Linked DNA regions of Saccharomyces cerevisiae S288C. The main gene of each other region encodes a partner of the protein of the gene in region 2 in a complex. Each region holds a gene or a part of one and is shown on either strand. Other genes may lie near its edges. The genes, in order: RML2, MRPL16, MRPL50 and MRPL6.

Region 1 (3,502 bases), on a different chromosome or scaffold from region 2:
AAGTCGATAGTGCTACATAATTATGTAACTTCATCCTCCTTCCTTTTATACTTTGTCGTTCGCTACCCTATTACATTATTAATTCTTGCATTTCAGCTTCCTTTAAATTTGATAGCTGTTTCCCATCGTACTTTTTGTCAACTAATTCTGTCCTATATGATAATTGAAGAGTGGGTGAATTTTGAGATAATTGTTGGGATTCCATTTTTAATAAGGCAATAATATTAGGTATGTAGAATGTACTAGAAGTTCTCCTCGAGGATTTAGGAATCCATAAAAGGGAATCTGCAATTCTACACAATTCTATAAATATTATTATCATCATTTTATATGTTAATATTCATTGATCCTATTACATTATCAATCCTTGCGTTTCAGCTTCCACTAATTTAGATGACTATTTCTCATCATTTGCGTCATCTTCTAACACCGTATATGATAATATACTAGTAACGTAAATACTAGTTAGTAGATGATAGTTGATCTTTATTCCAACAATAATACATATTAATACTATATACATAAGATCAAAGATGAAACTTGCTTCTTATTCCAGCAAGATTCTATATGCCATGATATACGACGAATAATATTTTGTGAATCAAGTTGATACTCCAAGGTTATGTTCTAATCTATGTTCTGTGGGTTCTTTATTTTTTGAATAACAACAAATAGTAAGCGCAAGTGGTTTAGTGGTAAAATCCAACGTTGCCATCGTTGGGCCCCCGGTTCGATTCCGGGCTTGCGCAGCTTTATTTTTTTAATCCATTCATTTCATGAGCAACTGTCAACTAATTCCAATACGAAGAGCCTAATTCTTTGATAGTTCCTTTTCTTTTCTAGTTTAGATTTCAGAAAGCGTAAACAACAATTTTAATCATCGTATTCAAATTTACATCGAACACGTTCATGATTAGCATGGAGTGTAATCATCATCAAAAAAAAAAAAAAAGAGGAGTGATAATGGCAATTAAGACAATTTTTTATATAACAGTAAGAATTGATATTGAAACCAAATTGTGCTTAACAAAAAAAACTAGGTCGAATGGATATTTTTCTTAATCCAACCGTACCGCTGTGTACAAATGAGGCAAAAGAGGTAAAATGTTTGAGAAAAGATTCCTTTCTTCAGCAATCCTTTTCTTGCATTAAATACATGTTCCTTGAGAAAACTTTTGATGTTTAATGTGTAAATATCTCATTAATTTCAGAATTTTCAGTGTTTGTTGTTTGTAAAATCAGTCATTTCAAAGATCCGCTTGGGGCGACAACTTAGTCATCATGTTAATGAGATACCAACAAAAAACTGTACTTGTAAGTTGTCTTTATCATCTCTAAAGGAACAATAATGCAGAAGAGAAAAAAGTAAAGAAAGTAATACACAAACATCCCCCTCTTGGCTTTATAAGCATACGCAAACAGTATAGTTCGAAAAAAAAAGTATTAGTACGATCTATTTTTGTTTGTCAGGAACTCCTGTTCCTTAACACATTCTATAGAAATATCTATATGTTACCATCCACGTACAGGTTGAAGCGCTTGGTATTTAAGATGAATAAGTATATTCTACGGTTAAATTTGAATAGAACCTCTGTTCTTTAAATACTCAAAAAAAATTTTCCATGCAAAAAAAAGACTACGCGAGGTGGAAAGTTAGGGCTTGAACCTATAATTGAAAGAGAAAGGGAACGTATGGGAAACTGAAAGCGAGTTCTAACTAAGCAAAAGAGAACGTTGTAAACTAGTCCAGAAATACGCAGAGAAGATAATTTAAGTGTTTATGAAAGATGTTGGTGCTAGGGTCTCTTAGATCGGCGCTGTCGTGCAGTTCCACAGCATCGCTTATTAGTAAGAGAAACCCTTGTTATCCATACGGTATACTCTGTCGAACTCTATCTCAGAGTGTTAAATTGTGGCAAGAGAATACTTCAAAAGATGACTCCAGTTTGAACATTACTCCACGATTACTAAAGATTATACCTAACGATACTGATATCGTGACTCTTGAGAAGCAGGATGAATTGATTAAAAGACGTCGTAAACTTTCGAAAGAAGTGACCCAGATGAAGAGGCTAAAACCCGTCTCACCTGGTTTGAGATGGTACCGTTCCCCCATTTATCCATATTTGTACAAAGGTCGTCCGGTTAGAGCCCTAACTGTTGTTCGAAAGAAGCACGGTGGTAGAAATAATTCAGGAAAAATCACTGTCCGTCACCAAGGTGGTGGCCATAGAAATAGAACGAGGCTGATAGACTTTAACAGATGGGAAGGTGGTGCACAAACGGTGCAAAGGATTGAGTACGATCCGGGTAGATCCTCTCATATCGCCCTATTGAAGCATAATACTACCGGCGAATTGTCTTATATTATTGCTTGTGATGGGTTACGCCCAGGCGATGTGGTCGAATCCTTCAGAAGAGGTATTCCTCAAACTTTACTGAATGAAATGGGCGGGAAAGTAGACCCTGCTATCTTGAGTGTTAAGACTACCCAAAGAGGCAACTGTCTACCTATTTCCATGATCCCCATAGGTACTATTATTCACAACGTTGGCATAACACCCGTTGGACCTGGAAAATTTTGTCGCTCTGCTGGTACATATGCCAGAGTCCTTGCGAAATTACCTGAAAAAAAGAAAGCTATTGTTAGATTACAAAGCGGTGAACATCGTTATGTGTCTTTAGAGGCTGTCGCTACCATTGGCGTGGTCTCCAATATTGACCATCAAAACAGATCTCTTGGTAAAGCCGGCAGATCAAGATGGTTAGGGATAAGACCCACTGTTAGAGGTGTTGCCATGAATAAATGTGACCATCCTCACGGTGGTGGCCGTGGTAAATCCAAGTCTAATAAATTATCAATGTCTCCATGGGGACAACTGGCAAAGGGGTACAAGACTAGAAGGGGTAAAAATCAAAATAGAATGAAAGTAAAAGACAGACCAAGAGGCAAAGATGCAAGATTATAAATAGGCTAATTTTAGTAGAAAAGAAGCAACATAGGGACCTTTTCTTCGTTGTTCTGGTTACATTTATCTGTACTATATAATTTTGCACAGCCTGTAGACAATGCCGCTTGTCCACAATCATGTAAATATAAATATTGAAACTTTTCACTTGTTTAAAATTTATGGCAAACCACTTTAATACTTTTTTCTTTTTAGGTACAATATTTACATTTTGATACTGTCCATCAGATTTTAGTCACTAACATCTAAGTTAAGGAAGTAAGAGATTCAGACTCCGGTAAGGAAAAAAAAAAAAAAGAAAAAAAAAAAACAAACTCTGAAATGAAAGCATTAGAAGAAAAAGTTATATCTCATGTACAATTTGAGCAAATTTGGACCGATATGATTTGAGGTTGTATGATAAGAAGTGCTATTTATGATTGTTTAAAAAGATGTTATTTTATTAAACAATTATACAAAATATCCTTTTTTTTAATAATGGCTTACATATTTTTGAAAAGGGTCTTGTTCTGCCTGAAACTTCAGAATATAAC
Region 2 (3,126 bases):
TAACTTCTTGATTTGACTCCATTCAGTTTCATTTTGGAAAAATGTTGGTCTCAAACCTAATCTCATTGAGCCCCCCATGGTTTCCTTGTCAATTTCAGGCATGAAAACGACAACGTGATTTTTTTCATCAATGTCTGGATAAAATTCTGCCGAATGACTGTCTTTTCTTCCCAACACACTACGTGTAAATTCAATGGTGGCAATTTGTAAACCCAGGCAAACCCCTAAGAATGGAATGTGATTTTCACGAGCCCATCTAGCAGCCAAAACCATACCTTCAGTACCTCTAACACCAAAACCACCGGGGATTAAGATACCGTCTGCGGTACTGACCATGTTCCATGCTTCATGAAATTTAGTTTTGTTGCTTTCTTGTGCTTCAGGTTCCAAATCAGTAGCTTCCACCCATTTAATGTCTAACTTACGACGACACTTCATGGATGAATGTTCCAATGCTTTTATCACTGATAGATAAGAATCTTTCAAGTTGGTGTATTTCCCAACCAAAGCAATCTTCACTGTTTCCATGGATTCATCGAAGTTACCTGTTGTGGCCTTCCATTTAGACAATAATTCCAGGCCTCTTTGTTTTTCTTCTTCTGTAAGTGATATTTCATCTAACTTTAATCTGGCGTGTAAGTAATCAATCATCTTTTGTTCCAGTAGCAACAATGGGACGTGATAAGTAGAATTAACATCGTGAACGTTAACCACCTGTTCAGGCCCCACATGACAAAACATGGCAATCTTATCGATTGTTGGTTTATCCAAAGTTTCACTACATCTACAGGCGATCATATCTGGAACTAAACCAAGAGACCTCAAACCTTTGATGGCAGCTTGAGTTGGCTTAGTTTTTTGTTCACCGTGGATGACAGGAACTAGAGAAACGTGTATCAAGGCAAAATTTTCCTTTCCAACTTTAAATTGGAATTGTCTTAGTGCCTCCACAAAAGGAGCACTTTCAATGTCACCAACTGTCCCACCCAATTCAATGATACAAACATCTGGTTCCATACCGGTGTCATCTACAGGAATTTTGGCCACGCGCTCAATCCAATCTTGGATAGCGTTGGTCAAATGAGGGACAATTTGCACGGTTTTGCCTAAATAGTCACCTTTTCTTTCCTTAGCAATAACGTGCGAGTATATTTTACCAGTAGTAATGTTATGATCTTTAGTCAAAGTAACTCCAAGGTATCTCTCGTAGTTACCCAAGTCCAAATCTGTTTCACCACCGTCGTCAAGCACGAAACATTCACCATGTTCCAAAGGAGACATAGTACCTGCATCAATGTTCATATAAGGGTCAATTTTAATTGACGTAACCTTTAAACCGAGGGTTTTCATTAGCATACCAGTTGAAGATGCAAGAACACCTTTACCGATACCCGAAATGACACCACCTGAAACAACAACGTACTTCATTTTCTGTCTATAAGTTTCTTTTGTTCTATTGACCAATTCACTGAGAAACTGCCTGAAACTTTTTCGACCTTAGAATGGCAGAAAAATGGCAAATACTGTAAAATACTTAACATTTAACTAAATTTTATTCTATGCTTTTCCTCTCGATGAGATGAGCTGTGAAAAATTTTGAAAAAAAAAAAAAAAAAAAAAAAAAAAAAAATTTGTTATCACCAATAACGAGAAACCTAACTCTAAAACTTAGGGTCAAAGAACAGAACCCTAGGCTTTGTATCCAGTTGAATCACTAATTACGAAAGAATGCTGGTGGAAATAATAATATCATATTGGTGCTCAAATAACAAGAAGACTTCTTTGGAAGAAATTATTACCAATTAACAGTCCACTTGTAGAGCGTACATATTGCCGGGAAGTTGATTACCTTTCACCAGAGGTACAGAGGAATAGAATTTTGCAACATGTTCCCCTATTTAACAAGAATGAATTTATCCATAAAGATGGGAGGGCTAACTTTAAAAGAAAGTTCCCCCAATGCTTTTTTAAATAACACCACTATTGCTAGGAGATTCAAGCATGAATATGCCCCACGTTTCAAAATCGTACAGAAAAAGCAAAAAGGTAGAGTGCCAGTTCGTACAGGTGGTTCAATAAAGGGATCCACTTTGCAATTTGGTAAGTACGGATTACGACTGAAAAGCGAAGGTATTAGGATATCCGCGCAACAGCTGAAGGAAGCAGATAACGCAATTATGAGATATGTCAGGCCTTTAAACAATGGTCATTTGTGGAGGCGTTTGTGTACAAACGTTGCTGTATGTATCAAGGGTAACGAAACAAGAATGGGTAAAGGTAAAGGTGGGTTTGACCACTGGATGGTGAGGGTACCCACAGGGAAGATCCTTTTCGAAATAAATGGTGATGATTTGCATGAAAAAGTCGCACGGGAAGCCTTCAGAAAAGCAGGCACCAAGTTACCTGGGGTATATGAATTTGTATCCTTGGATTCTCTGGTTAGAGTTGGATTACATAGTTTCAAAAATCCTAAAGACGACCCAGTGAAGAATTTTTACGATGAAAATGCAAAGAAGCCATCAAAGAAGTATTTGAATATTTTAAAGTCTCAAGAACCACAGTACAAACTCTTCAGAGGACGTTGAACGGATTGAACACACCATGTATACATGTATATAACTATTGAAAAATATCGATATTCACAATCAAGTAATCTAGCCATGGCTATGAGTTTATTAATTCTAGTATGCACTGTATACTCTCTGCGGAAGAATAGGAGTTTTTCCCCGGAGTGAGCGCTGAAGAAACACATGACGACGTGAAAAAACACTTGTTTGATCCAGCTGAGGTATAAACACTGAGAAATATTTGAGGGTCAAAGAAGCACTAGGAACGTTACAGTTGGAATTTGCTAGTCAATCGAGTTTCCAATTTCGCAACCTTTATTATAGTACTAATCTTATAAGCCATGGATCGCAAAAAAACACTTATAAACTCAAGTGTTTCTAATAATAACAGTACCATCAAGGGCCTACAGTTATTCATTGCAGATCTTCGTTCTGCACAACAAGCACAAGAGCAGGAAAAGAGAATACAATCTGAAATTGTCAAAATTAAACAGCATTTCGATGCTGCAAAGAAAAAACAAGGCAATCACGACAGATTAGGTGGCTATCAAAGAAAGAA
Region 3 (2,678 bases), on a different chromosome or scaffold from region 2:
CTCTCGTGTAGATTCGAGAGAACGGACGTTATTTCTTTGTCCTGTAAAGCTATCTTGGGTTTGATTTGTTCCAATTCCCTGGCATTTTCATTCAATTCAGCAGCCCCAATTTGACTTTCTCTTTGTGTATTATTGAATTTTAGAGCGTTGACATCAGGTACTTCAATATCAAGAACCAACTCACCATAAGTGGAAGCTTTATCAACGCGTACTGTGTAATCAATTTCAATTGGCTGTAATGGGAGCAGGTGAGTACTATTAATAAGGGACAGTAAATCCGTTAATTTCATTGTATCTGGAGAAGATTCTTTAAGACTGCTGGGTAATAAGGTAATAAGCTGAGTGTCTAATTTTACAATAGAAACTTGACTGGAGGCTGCATCAAGCATCTTACTAGTACTGGTGTTGCTATTGTGATTGTTCCTGTTGCCCATCAAATTTTCGAATGCAGACTCATCATTGGTAAGCAATTCATTTAAATGGATGTATTTATATATGGAAAATATTGCATCATGTGATGTACCGCTCTTCAATCCTATTATTGCGGTTAGTTGTGGAGAGTAGCTCATAAATGGCTCTTCTGGGGATGATTTTCGCAGGATGCTTATAGTGCATTCTACATTTTCAGACCCTACCCTCTTAATATCGAGACCATCGAAGTCTACAGGATTATTCGGGTCATACTGCCATTTCACTGATTCTAGTTTTGGAGTTGTAGAACTCATATCCTTTTTGGCAGTCTCCTCCCCCATCGTGGCATTATTTTGGTCGGTATTAGTCGTAGTAGAGTTGTCACCATTCGGCAGTGAAAATTGTAACGGTAAGTTTAAGTTCAATTTCTTATCACTGGGTCCTTCGGTGGCATTTTCTTCAGGGGCCGCATTAAATTTAGTCGATGGCACATTATCGTTTTCCTTATTTTTGAAGTCTACCACTATCGATTCTATGAATGAGCTAAATTTTTCTCTTGCTGGATCATTAGCTTGCACATTGTCCAATAATCGACCTTCGATTCTCATCGTCCAAGTGGCATTCTCCAGTGCCATAAGGTCAGCCTCATTGTTTGTGTCCATTTGCCAGGGTTGGTTTTCACTAACATTTGAAATGAAGATTCGGAGAAATTTTACATTTGGAAAATTTAAATGAGGATAAAGAAACTCTTGGGATAGCTTTGACCTCTCCCACTGCGCAACCATTCGCTTCATATGTAAGTTTCGCAGATGAATAAAATGATCTAATCTTTTCTCGGAATCCACCAGTTGTTGGAAAGAATACAGCTCAGGAATCAATTCGGCTAAATGGTCAGGGATAACCATATCTGATGGATGAGAATGTGGCACTGTTGGCGTAATTTGAGAAGCATTATTTGCTTTATCTTGGTTCACCGGATCCTTTTTCTTTGCATGAAAGAAATTTTTAGTATCAGGTGTGGCTGCTTTTGAACTCTTTCTAGAACCTTTTCCGTTGCTGGGTTTCATTACTTTGGACATGGTTCAATCCGTTAGATCTCTGTTTGACAGCTTTAGAGTTGTCTTATTTTGTTTTTGGTTTAATACATCCACGTTATTTTGTATTTTTTTTGTTTATTATTGCAAGTTTTTAGTTCATTTGTTCTTTCCGATGAAAAAGCAAACTCAAAGGGCAGTTAAGTTACGTTATACCGTAAGGAATATAAAAGGCTAACTAAATAACGAACGAAACAGGTCGACCAAAGATGCTACATTGCACCCAGGTGTGTCTGAGCGCTCTGACAAAGAGAACCCACAGGGTCAAGGTTCAAGTCCTGAAGGATTTCCCGCGATTTCAATTATATAAAGGACAAGTTGCAAATGTCAAACCATCTTTAATGAGAAACTATTTACATAACTTCAATGGTGCAAAATACATACTCAGCGAAGAACACGACATAAATACGGAACTGTTAAAACAATACCAAACACTTGAGGCAAAGCTAGAGGAAGACCATCAACAGCTCTCTAAACGCCATGAAACGGAAGTTCAAAAGAACATGGAGTTACGTAAAGAATCTGTTTTTGGCCACAAGAAAGAAGAGAAGCCAAAAGAGGAAAAGAAGGGATTATTGGATTCTGGGATTACTATCGAAGAGGTTAAGATCCCCGGTCTTGACATTTGATTGGTAAAGAGTATGTATTCAGATAGCGTACAATCTTGTATATAGGCAACATCGCAATTCAAAACACCACATACCAATTTACATACTTACTATTTAAATGTATGGATACATGGAAAACGTTCGTATACAAAAACTGAAGAGGTTCAGAAAATTATAAGGAGGAAAGAAGAACAAAGTGGTTCTTACTGAAATCTTGTTCTTTGCTTGTTTTTGAGACGTCTTTCTCTTTTCTCTTTCATTTTTTGATCTACCTTTTCTTGTTGACCAGAGGCCTTCAATTGACGTCTTTTGGCTTTTTCCAATTCTAATTTCTTCTCCTTTGCCAATTCCAATTCAGTTTCTTTCATAAACTTTTTGATCTTGTTCAGTTCTTGCTGACGCAAGTTGGTAGTTCTTTTCAAGATGTCGTTGGTAATGAATAAGTTTGGAGACTGTTGGACTAAATCTTGAGTGAACCCATCGTAGATTTCTACGACTAAGGAAATAATTTGGTTTAACAACTTCAATTCATTCTCATTTTGGGGAACAGCGCAACGAATGATAG
Region 4 (2,757 bases), on a different chromosome or scaffold from region 2:
AGACTAAACGGAACTGCGTTAAATCCGGTCGATCATCCGGAAATGTTTTATTCACCGACAAACGATGCCTATTATGCTCCACAGCAGCAAGGCCAATATATGAAGTTTAACGAAAATGGGGCGGTTCCTTCACCTTATCAACTTAGACAAAGTGTGGTAATGACCAATCCTTCGGATTTGACGGCAAAACCATCTTATAAGCCAGCAGGTTCTTTCAGAAGTGTAAGCGCAACCAATTCAAGAAATAACAGTCTGACCACACAAAATAATATCTATCTGCAACAGCAGCAGCAGCAACTGTATAATTCTCGTGTTAGTGGGATATTAGAAGAGACAGATGTTGTACAGCCACCAAGTGTTGGTGGAATTTTGCCACATAGTGGTTCACAGGACGATTTAAGAAAACAATTAGGCTCTTCACATAATTATACCGTCAACTGAAGTGTAGATAATGAACGGACAATTATCGGATATATAAATTGATGTTTTATTGGAGAAATTTTACAAATTGCGTATTTATACAAATTAATTTATGTTAAATAGGATTTTTTCGAAGTGTATTTTTAAGTTTTAAGGCATATTTAACAAATGACGCCGATGAGAAATTGTTTTGCGGTTTTTCTTATTTTTGCATACGACGAAGAAGTTCCTTTGTGTATATAACAATTTTTCATGCTTCCAGCTTTTAAGAAAGCTCAGGCGCCTCACATCATTTGTATTTGCTGCCTCGTTGCCTATTCGTAATAATTTCACAATGTAGGAAGATGATAAATCGAGTATTGATACAGAAAACGTAAGTTTGTAGTCAATTTATGAAAAATCAAAATCGTCGATTTGGTTTCTGTATCTCAACAAGGTTTTCTTGATCTTAGAGTTGTCCACCCAAGTAACGTAGTCCTCCATATTTCTCGTTACGAGGTAGGCTGGATCGTTGATCAAATTTGGACCCACGCGAACATGCCCTTGTTCAATGAACTTGACTGCATCTTGTATAGTTTCCGCCATTTTTAATCTATGCATTATTACAGGTAATCGCCTCCTACAGATGGCACTAACAGTAACTTTATTTTCCAGATCAGAAATCTTTGATTTAGTTGTCAGGACACCCATAGCGTATAGCTTGTCCAGTAATAATTGCTCATGTTTGCGACGAAATGGATCAGTGGGAGGTAATAATGATAATTTATTGGCAAGACGACGAATATCACCGCATATCCTATTGTATTTATGATAATCTTCACGATTCTGAATATGATATGTTCTCATGACCTGAGTGTCCCGGTGGCCTTGGTCCTGCTTCCATTCAAGGAAGTCTACTTTTTTCAATAACTTTTGCTCATGATGCTTTAGTTTTCTAACCATTATTGGTTGTGATTATGCCTGGTGGTTTATCTATTTAGAACGTTCTATATTACTTATCCCATTGAATTTTTGTTGCGATGAGCTTATATCAGTGAAATTTTTTTCACTGGAAGTAGAGGGTAATGAAAGGCGAGCGGAAATAGCGAGGAGACGCTACGGTTATAGAGGAAGAATATCAAATACTAGTAAGTAAGGGAAGATCACGCAATAAAGCTATCGCAAATCTTACTATAGGAATTGAGGCCAACCTATGTCATTTATTCAGAGGAGGTTATTGTCGCAAACACTTTTTCTGCGCTCTCAAGTGGGGTCTTTACCACTTTATATATCTCCTGAAGTTCAGGTTTCCATAAATGCATTATCCATGCCCAGGATTATCAGAAAAGGTAGAACTTCAATGAATATATCACAGAATATCACAGTAAAGGGACCCAAGGGTGAATTGTCCGTGGAGGTCCCTGATTTTTTGCACTTGGACAAGGATGAAAAGCACGGTAAAATAAATGTTACAGTTCAGAATTCAGAAGATAAACATCAACGTTCGATGTGGGGTACAGTAAGATCACTTATAAATAATCACATTATAGGTGTTACTGAGGGGCATCTTGCTGTCCTTAGATTTGTAGGGACAGGTTATAGAGCTCAATTAGAAAATGATGGTAAATTTGTCAACGTTAAGGTGGGTGCATCTATCAAACAAGGATTGGACGTTCCTGAAGGTATTGTTGTCAAAACACCTGCTCCCACGTCTCTGATTATTGAAGGGTGCAATAAGCAGCAGGTCCTTCTTTTTGCTGCCAAATTGAGAAAATTCCATCCACCAGAGCCGTATAAAGGCAAAGGAATATACGTTAACGATGAAACAATAAAGCTAAAGGACAAGAAAATCAAATAACTTCAGGATTTCAGTTATTTTCGTACTCATTTTCGTAATTTTTTTTATGACATGTATCTTTTCTTATACTTTATAGGGAATACCTTGTAAATATCCTATGAAAATAACTTAAATGAAATTTATATTGGTTATTAATGCGGTGACGTGTTCTTGCTTGGTAAACATTTTGGTGTTCAATGAAACTCTTGGCTTGCAACCTTTAATATATACTAGTTTCACGGAATATGAACGCAATAAGTAAGGCCACAGAAGTTCGAACCTTACCTTTCATTTTATACAGTTTCGAAAAGGGAACACCATTTAGACTAGAAACCAAATATCCTCTTTAACGTTCTGCTAATGCTATATATTTTTTGATTCCAACGCTAATAAAGATTTTTTTTCTTGAGTACTTTTCATGTTTTGTTGTAGAGAGCCCATTTAAAACAAAGATGTTTACCAGAAAACAAAAGAAAAGATCAAATAAGTGAGTAAATGAAATGCTGTACCTTCCAATTTCT

What was found.
Region 1: MRPL16 (region 2) and RML2 share a complex: the UniProt entries of both Saccharomyces cerevisiae proteins name them as parts of the mitochondrial large ribosomal subunit.
Region 3: MRPL16 (region 2) and MRPL50 share a complex: the UniProt entries of both Saccharomyces cerevisiae proteins name them as parts of the mitochondrial large ribosomal subunit.
Region 4: MRPL16 (region 2) and MRPL6 share a complex: the UniProt entries of both Saccharomyces cerevisiae proteins name them as parts of the mitochondrial large ribosomal subunit.

Annotation. Positions count from the first base shown.
Region 1 is NC_001137.3:59,137-62,638, reverse strand, and holds RML2 (mitochondrial 54S ribosomal protein uL2m RML2), read left to right. Parts: upstream 1-1,787; coding exon 1,788-2,969; downstream 2,970-3,502. Other genes in the region: VMA8 (H(+)-transporting V1 sector ATPase subunit D), read right to left, coding at 3,491-3,502. UniProt on the Saccharomyces cerevisiae protein: Component of the mitochondrial ribosome (mitoribosome), a dedicated translation machinery responsible for the synthesis of mitochondrial genome-encoded proteins, including at least some of the essential transmembrane subunits of the mitochondrial respiratory chain.
Region 2 is NC_001134.8:144,301-147,426, forward strand, and holds MRPL16 (mitochondrial 54S ribosomal protein uL16m MRPL16), read left to right. Parts: upstream 1-1,886; coding exon 1,887-2,585; downstream 2,586-3,126. Other genes in the region: CTP synthase URA7, read right to left, coding at 1-1,428; APL3 (Apl3p), read left to right, coding at 2,909-3,126. UniProt on the Saccharomyces cerevisiae protein: Component of the mitochondrial ribosome (mitoribosome), a dedicated translation machinery responsible for the synthesis of mitochondrial genome-encoded proteins, including at least some of the essential transmembrane subunits of the mitochondrial respiratory chain.
Region 3 is NC_001146.8:669,230-671,907, reverse strand, and holds MRPL50 (mitochondrial 54S ribosomal protein bL9m MRPL50), read left to right. Parts: upstream 1-1,714; coding exon 1,715-2,134; downstream 2,135-2,678. Other genes in the region: SNF12 (Snf12p), read right to left, coding at 1-1,490; YNR021W (uncharacterized protein), read right to left, coding at 2,317-2,678. UniProt on the Saccharomyces cerevisiae protein: Component of the mitochondrial ribosome (mitoribosome), a dedicated translation machinery responsible for the synthesis of mitochondrial genome-encoded proteins, including at least some of the essential transmembrane subunits of the mitochondrial respiratory chain.
Region 4 is NC_001140.6:392,139-394,895, reverse strand, and holds MRPL6 (mitochondrial 54S ribosomal protein uL6m MRPL6), read left to right. Parts: upstream 1-1,612; coding exon 1,613-2,257; downstream 2,258-2,757. Other genes in the region: SKG6 (Skg6p), read left to right, coding at 1-441; snoRNA-binding rRNA-processing protein IMP3, read right to left, coding at 811-1,362. UniProt on the Saccharomyces cerevisiae protein: Component of the mitochondrial ribosome (mitoribosome), a dedicated translation machinery responsible for the synthesis of mitochondrial genome-encoded proteins, including at least some of the essential transmembrane subunits of the mitochondrial respiratory chain.